Rattus norvegicus: one gene and its partner. The protein of the gene in region 1 binds, or shares a complex with, the protein of each later gene. Links are inferred from orthologs where the notes say so. Each region holds a gene or a part of one and is shown on either strand. Other genes may lie near its edges.

Evidence for each region.
Region 2: the proteins of Micall1 (region 1) and Ehd1 are in contact, whole or in part, in an NMR structure (PDB 2KSP), measured with the Homo sapiens proteins. The link is inferred for Rattus norvegicus from reciprocal best matches to the Homo sapiens genes MICALL1 and EHD1. Residues at the interface, in NP_203744.1 of Homo sapiens: Lys422, Tyr424, Asn425, Pro426, Phe427, Glu428, Glu429; in NP_001269373.1 of Homo sapiens: Gly464, Ala467, Lys468, Met471, Asn478, Leu481, Gly482, Trp485, Lys486, Lys492, Asp493, Gly494.

The regions. Positions count from the first base shown.
Region 1 is NC_086025.1:112,560,192-112,563,781, reverse strand, and holds part of Micall1 (MICAL-like protein 1), read right to left. Parts: intron 1,152-3,590; coding exon 1,103-1,151; intron 779-1,102; coding exon 637-778; intron 1-636. UniProt on the Homo sapiens protein: Lipid-binding protein with higher affinity for phosphatidic acid, a lipid enriched in recycling endosome membranes. On endosome membranes, acts as a downstream effector of Rab proteins recruiting cytosolic proteins to regulate membrane tubulation.
Region 2 is NC_086019.1:213,007,788-213,011,996, reverse strand, and holds the start of Ehd1 (EH domain-containing protein 1), read right to left. Parts: upstream 2,885-4,209; 5' UTR 2,812-2,884; coding exon 2,408-2,811; intron 1-2,407. UniProt on the Homo sapiens protein: ATP- and membrane-binding protein that controls membrane reorganization/tubulation upon ATP hydrolysis. In vitro causes vesiculation of endocytic membranes. Acts in early endocytic membrane fusion and membrane trafficking of recycling endosomes.

The DNA of each region.
Region 1 (3,590 bases):
GGACACCCAGATCCTCAGCCCTGCCCCTCAGCTTTTGTGCTGGGTTCCTGACCTCTTCAATTCCCCTTCTTTGGACTCACTTCCCCTATGCAGAGGGGAGTCCCACACTGTCCCGGGACACTCAGAACCTGACCAGAACAGAAAGGAAGTCTTCCCCTCCTGGACGCACTCCTCCAGTGTCTAATTCTCAAGCTGAGGAGGCAGGCTCTGCAACAGCGCTGTGCAACAGCACAGAAGAAGAGACCAGCGTGGCAGGAAGAAAAAGCTGTGGAAAGTGTGAGGACAGGAAACGGCAGACAGGAAGTGCAGTGGGTGAGGAGAGGTGAACTCACAGATGAGCTCACCTGGGCTTAGTGCTTGTCTCCCCTATCCAGGCAAAGCAGATAGGGTTTGGTTCTGTGGCCCAGGCTGGCCTCAAACTTGAGGTGATCCCTCTGCTTCAGCCTCCCAAGGGTGGAGATTACAGGTGTGAGCAGGTTACCTAAACCATCGCTTGCTTAATGCAATAAATATGTGAACTAGGGAACCCACTGTCAGTGACTCAATGACAGGCTGTCTCCTGGCCATTTCTTTACTGTTCGGAAAAGAAGTAAACAGCTCAAGGCAGCCTCCCTGAAGGGCTGGGTCCCCTCTCACCTTGGCCAGAACTGGTGAAGTGGTTGTAGTACTGGGACACATAAGTCATGATGCTGAGACAGTCAGGGACACTCATGGAGACCATGTCATTGGGGTCCAGGAGAGCAGGGATGCCCAGTTCCTTTTCAGCCACTTCAAAGGCCTAGGGTGAAGTTAGGTGCAAAGGGGGAAACAGGAGCAGCCGCAGGGAAGAGAGGACAGAGATGGCAGTGTTAGTGAATACTTCAGACTAGTCCCAGCTCACTATAATGGGGACAGGGTGACAAAGGTATCATCCCCACGTGGTGGCCTGAAGGAGAGCTCTGCCGCTTCAGGGAAGGACATCCAGGGGAAGAGGTGAGGAAGGAGGAGAACCAGGGTCTCCTCTAGGACCTGCACCAGCCCCCTCACCAAATGCAGCGGCCCCCGAGAGACCCCTACCCTCTCCCACCACACCACAGTTGCTTCAATCTGTGTGAGGACTCACCAATCGGTTATTCTCGAAGACATTTTCCTTGGAGAGAGATTGGAAGTCACTGCAAGAGACAAGAGAACAGTCAAGAGTCATGATGGGCGTGAGGGCGGGGTCAGGAAGCAGGGGCGGGGTCAGAAAGGAGGTGGGAGCTTGACCTCAGGAACCTGTAGACTCCCTGCCCAGACTTGCAGAGCTGTCAGCTCTAAGTAGAGGAGACTGAGCCCTTGGAGGCACCCAAGCAAGGCCTGGGAAATCACTGAGAAGGGGTGGGCTCAAGCGAAGCTTCCACAGGAGGCTTTCTCAGTCAGTGGCAAAAAAAGACCAACCAAGCATGCCCATGTAGGTCTGAAGGTCACAGCAACTCATCTGACAGACATTCACCCTACTTTACAGAAGGTGCTGAGGTTCAAGAGGGGAAGCCAGCCAGCTCTGCAAGCCTGTGCCTTTGGAACGTCCTCTGAATGTCACAGACACACACGCCACACCTAGCAGAAAACCTGAAACCCCACCTAACTCCAAGAGGAATATTTCCTTTTCTGTTTTGTTTGTTTCATTAAGCTTATAGTATATATTTATTTTGTGTGTATGTGTGTGGATATATCTTCTTGTTTATTTACCTAATGTATGAGTTTTCACAGCATGCGTGTCTGTGCCTCTGTGCATGCCTGGTGCTCAAGAAGGTCAGAAGAGGGCACTGGGTTCCTTGGGACTAGAGTTACAGACACATGGGTGCTGAGAATTGAGCAAACTCTTAGGCCCCTCCACGTGGGGTTTTTAGTTTGTTTGATTGGGTTTGTTTGTTTGTTTGTTTTGAGGCAGGGTTTCCTGTGTAGCCCTCGCTGTCCTGGAACTCCCTCTGCAGACCAGGCCGGCCTCGAACTGCCTTCAGAGTGCTGGGATTAAAGGCATGTGCCGCTATGGCCCCCAGGCCTACATGTTTCTTAGTGGGGCCCAAATAGAAGTTAGAAACAGAGTAGAAAGGGACATAATCCAGACCTGGTAGTCAGCTGAGATGCTTGCTCTTGGGGACAGCTTCCTTACAGTAGATAGGCATCCCTACTTCCCTCGTAAGGGGTTTCGAAGCTTCTGAAGTGGGGCAGGTAAGCGGTGGCAAGACACATCCACAAACTGGTGTGGGAAACACGGGTGCCTGCTAGCTTCACCCATCTGTGGAAACCAGTGGGCTGGAGCATGCGCAGGTAGGACACCTGTGGGCTTGTTTGACTGTGTGACTGGCTGTGGGCAGGTCAGGAACCCTACCAGCCTCCGCTGCCCTGGAAACTCAGGGGAGCCTCAGCCCCTGCTCCCAGGCTGCAGTGAGGGCCAGCAGGATCTGAGAATGGCAAAGGTCTCCTAGATACAGCAAAGTGTGCAAGCTTTGCCACTGCTGAACCCTTTGCCTCAGTTTCCTGGTACCCAACATGGAAGGGGGGAAGGGGGTACTCCAAAACCAATGAGATCACGGTAACTTGTCTGGAAGGTTCAATCTGGTTTCCTCAGCAGTGTCCCTAGAAAGCTGGTTCACAGCTTGTCCCCATTGCTTCTGGGTGTTTAGGAAGTGATCTTGCGCATGCTTGTTGAAAGAATACAGAGCAATAACTGTTAAACTGTGGTAACTGGGACTGGGGAGGCAGCTTACTGGGGAGGTGTGTGAAGCACTTGCCACACAAACCTGAGGACCTCAGTTCAAGCCCCAGCACCATGAAAAATGCAGGCATGGTGGCACATGCTAGTAATCCGGATCCCTGATGCGGTAGACAGTCAATATAGCCAGATTAGCCAGCCTCTCGTCTCAGTATTTAAAAAAAAGGTAGAATATCATCACACTCACACACACACACACACACACACACACACACACACACACACACACAAACACGCATAAACACACACAATATTACACCTTCTTTTCCCTCAATTCCTTCCACTCCATCCCTATCCCTAAATGACAATGACATCTGGGTTTGGATAACACAGATCCTTCTTTTCAGAGAACTTCCAGAGGTTGAGAAAGTTCCCTTTGACTCTGGAGGCAACAAAAGCACAGAAATGAATGCCACATGGACTCTGATCTCACAGGGATTTAGAAAATCCTGGAGGAGAGAAGGGCCCCTCGCCAACACAGCACACACACACACACACACACACACACACACACACACACACACACACACACTCACACTGAGGCCTGGGCCAGCACCAGCAGCCTCAGAGCCCTGAACCACTTTGTCAAATGGCTTTGGCTTTCACCCAACCTCTGCTCTTACACAGATCTGCCCTTAAGTGCTGAGGGTATCATTCAGGGACTGCGAGCTTGCCTAGCACGCACATCTCTAACAAATAATGCATAAATACAGGACAGATAATTCTCTTCTCTGTGCTGTAGGAGGGACCTGGCCTCTCATGTAATGAGCATGGTCTAGGCCCCAGCCTCCCTAAGTAAATGGACAACTGGATTTGGTCTAGATGTCTGCTTGGGAGGAAACATGGCTTCACACTT
Region 2 (4,209 bases), on another chromosome or scaffold:
GTGGACAGAGAAAGGACTCTTTTAAAAACCTCCCTGAGCAAAGAAAATACAGACCTATGGTCTGCAAGACATAGGCTCAAAGCTGGGATTCTAACAGTGGGGAGCAAGATGAATGTCTCCTGTGGCTCCACACCCCCAAATTATGATGATAAGTCTCCCCCCAGGCTGGAGACAGCATGACAAAGTAAAAGGCTATGTCCAAGTATAGCAGACTCCAGTGTTGTAAATCATTGCATGCTGGATCTCAATTCCCCTTGCCTAGGAAGAAATTCTCTACTCAATGGAGAGAGAGCGACAGAAAAACAGAGTGGAAGTGGAGCTGGTTCTGAGAAGTAACAGACATAACCGGTCCCATAAAGGAGCATCTGAAAGTCCATGAGAACCCACTACTCTGCAAGGTCCAGTAAGTGGACAGCAAGAAAGGCAGGAGGTTATAACAACTCCCTGGCAACAAGGATGGGGACCTCAGTCCTCAGGACCAGTGGGTGGGTCCAGTTATGCAGGCAGGGCACTCACAAACCCCTCTTGGGATTGCCTGCCTCCGTCTGTTCCTCTCACTATCTCTGAGCAGCCTTGGGGGCAGTGGGGGGGGGGGGCTAATAAATCAAGTTCATGACTCAATGGATCCCTTTAAGAGTGCCAGGAAAAGCTGTATCAGTCAGAGAAAAGCCCCCTTTGTTGTGCCTCCCTGGCCAGAGGCATATCCTGAGACAGTTCCAACCCTGGTCTTCACCAGCATTTAGAGACCCTCTGGAACTGGGATGGGGGCAAGAAGGAACCGGGTACAGAGCGTGGCCTCCACCTTGACAGTTCAGCAGGGCCTGCCTTTTGTGAGTTACTGCACTGGGGGCTATTGGGGTGGTGTGTGAGAGCTCTAGCTCCTTAAGCTCTGCATTTCCACAGGTGAAAACTGAGGAGATGCCAAGTTCCTTGCTTCCAAAGAGGTCTGCCCTCATGATGAGGCTATAACAGGAGTTGGAACAGCAAATCTTCCTGTCACTCCTGAAGCAGAGACCTAAAGCATGAATGAATTCCTTAGCCCAGCAGCCAAACTTCTCACAAGACCATCAGCACTCTGAGTCAAGGGCCTACCTACAGGGGCAGCAAAACTCAAACACCCTTAGGCAAAGGCTCCAGGCTAAGGGGACTAGAGCATTGTATTCAACCCAGGCCTGTCACGCAAGCAGCAGCATCTTAAAACAAGACAGGCTGAAATTACCTAGAAGGGACAAGAAGACATTAAAGATCAACTCCACCAAAGGAGGCAGGCCTGAGAGCAGGCTCGCTCTAGAACAAGCTGGCCCGCCCTGTACGGCTGGACAGTGTCTGCAGAGGAATGTGCTCATACAGGGCGGAGACCTGGAAAGCAGGATTCAGATTCTTTCCAAGGTTATTCCCCTAGGCTGAATGCAGATGTCGAAAGGCATGTGGAAGTCCCTCCTTGAAAGAGGGAGCAGAGAGGGCAGGGTCTGTGAGTCCTGTCATACCTAGGAGAGGAGGAGTCTGGGATGACCCAATGCCCTTAAAGAAGTGATCCTGGGCGTTAAAGCTCCACGGAAAGGCCACTGTGATTCATTCATAGCATCCTGAGAGGCTGACTCTAATTCACCTCACCCCTTTAACCGGTAAAGCTGAGACTCCAGGAGTACATCAAAGTCTATCAAATCTATAGTTGCATATGGGTCTGGTCATTTCAGGGGTCACAGTGTTACCAGCCCCTGAAGTCTCTTGAGGCAATACTGACTTAAGTTTTTTGTTTTGTTTTGTTTTGTTTTGTTTTGTTTTGTTTTGTGACAGGGTTGTCTCATACACTCCTGGCTGGCTTGGAATCCACTTAAGTGCTGCTTTTAGGAGGTGTGTTGAGACTCCTTCATCCCCTCCCTTCAAAGAGGGCTGCCCCCAAATCAGCAGACCAAAGCATATCCTCACTGCCCCTCCTACACAAAACCACTGGTCCCAGGAGATGTGAAGCAGCGAGTGACCAGCAAAAGGAACATCTAAGTCTCGGGATTTCCCATGACACTTAAAAAACAGACCCGGGTGGAAGAGGGAGGTTGATGAGAATGAGTTGGGTGCCTCCAAAATGAGGAACGAGGCAGAGAGGAGAGCAATGGCTTATCTTATCACAGTGGCCCCCAGCTCTGTGGGAAGTAGGTCTGGGATCTGCGGGAGGGTTTGAGAGTTAAATTGAAAACCTGGAAGGTTCTGGGAATGACACAAGCCAGAGGAGTGGACAATGCCTATTCCCTAACTACTCTCAGGTAGTTAGTGGGACGCAGCAAGGCCAGTGACCCTGGGAGTGATCGCTGAGGGTCCTGCGGGGCCCCTCAGAGACAAAGGCCGGCTGGGGGCAATGGCTCTGGAGGCCTTTGGTGGTCCTCGCGCTGGGGGGAGAAGGGGTGGGTACCTGTTGAGGAAGGCGTTGCCGAAGGCGTTAAGCTTGCGGAAGGGGCGCCGCGGGTCCACGACGAGCGCGTTGCCGGGCACCACGCCCTCGGTGGGGCCATGCATGACTGCGATGAAGGAGTCGGTGGTGGGCTCCGGCCCGATGCGCATCCCTGGGAAGTCCTGCTCGATCAAGTGGCGGATGAAGGTGGTCTTGCCGGTGCTGTACTGGCCGACCAGGAGCACCATGGGTTTGTTGTCGAAGTCAGCGTCCTCCAGAGCCGGCGAATGGAACTCGTGGAAGCGATAGTGCTCCTCCAGCGGCAGCAGCTTCTGCGCGTACAGCTGCCGCAGCCCCTCGGCCACCGTCTGGAAGAGCTCCGGCTCCTTCTTGCGGCGGGCATCCTTGCTCACCCAGCTGAACATGCTGCCGGAGACAGAGCTGGCTGCTACAGGACCGAGCGGCGGCTGAGCGGGACTGGAGCGCGCGGCCGAGGAGGGGCCGGCCGGCCGGCGGAGGGCAGAGGGGCAGGGGGCGGGGCGCGGCCCGCACCGCGCAGGCGCAAGGACCGGCGTACAGACCACAAGAGCGCCCTCTACTGAGGGTCGCGCGAGCCTGGCCGAGCGGCCCCTTTATAAGCCGGAGCCCGGAGTTCTGGCACGCAGGCCGCCGCCTCGGGGCAGGCGGGAGAGGCGAGGGAAGAGCCCTCCAGGCTCCGCCCCATTCGCGTGCCACGTCTTCTCCTGCTTCCCATTGGCTGATTTTAAATATCGCGAGTTCGTGGCTGTGGTGCCTTGGCAACCGCACCTGTTTTGCTCCGCCCCTCGAGGGATACCTCGTAGAAGGGTTGCAGTTGCAGGTGCCAGAGACTAGCGTCCAGATGTGCTAAGCCTGAGCACCTTGGAGCACCCGTGGGCTTCTGGATACCCCAAGTACTTCAACTGCTTCCCCCAACTGCAGGGTTTCCACCGGCTAGGAACTCCCAGAAGCATCGACAGCCTGTGCGCTGCCCCTTCCCTGCTTCTTGAACCCACACTCCTCACTCTAGTGTTTTAGCGACTCTGGAGAAGAACAGGACAGCGGGAATAGGGAAAGCCGAGGGAGTACAGGACACCGGGAAGAGGAATATTGATAAGGGAGGAGAAGTGCGCTGGATCTCCACTCAGGCTGATGGGAGAGGGACAAAGCAATGGACAACACAATTGACGTGATCTAGCGGGGAGGTCTCACCCAAGAGGTGTCAGCTGCGGAATGGGGTAAAGAAGTTGCAGCTTTCTGGTTAGATGAGTTTGGAGGAAGTGAAATCGGAAATTCCCTTTGTAAGGAAGAGGGGAAGTGTTGAGCAACAATGAAATGTTGTGGGAACTTTGGGGAAATTAAAAGCCCCAAAATTTCCGCTTTCCTTTCAGGGACACCACCAGTACCACCTCTTGTTCAGTTCTGATTCCCAACCTCCTTCCAGTTAGTAGCTGTTCCACGGGGCTTACGGACCCGCCATCATCCCTGGCCACACCTAAGTCCCCTTGGCTGGTCTGCTGGTGACAATTTTTGTGGGTGATGTCAGAGATTTGGGGACTATGATTGTTAGGTAACTAGTATCAGGTCACCCAAGTGGGAGGAGGATCTAAGGGTGCTTGGAGAAGTCTAAAAGGCACCTGAGGAGTTGGTTAACACACAGTTATGGTCGCAGATGTTTGGAAAAGTTGGAAGACTACCTGAACCCATCAATATGAGGCCAGCCTGGGCAACAGACTCTATCTTAAAAAATATTTATCGGGGCTGGAGAGATGGCTCAGAGGTTAAGAGCACTGACTGCTCTTCCA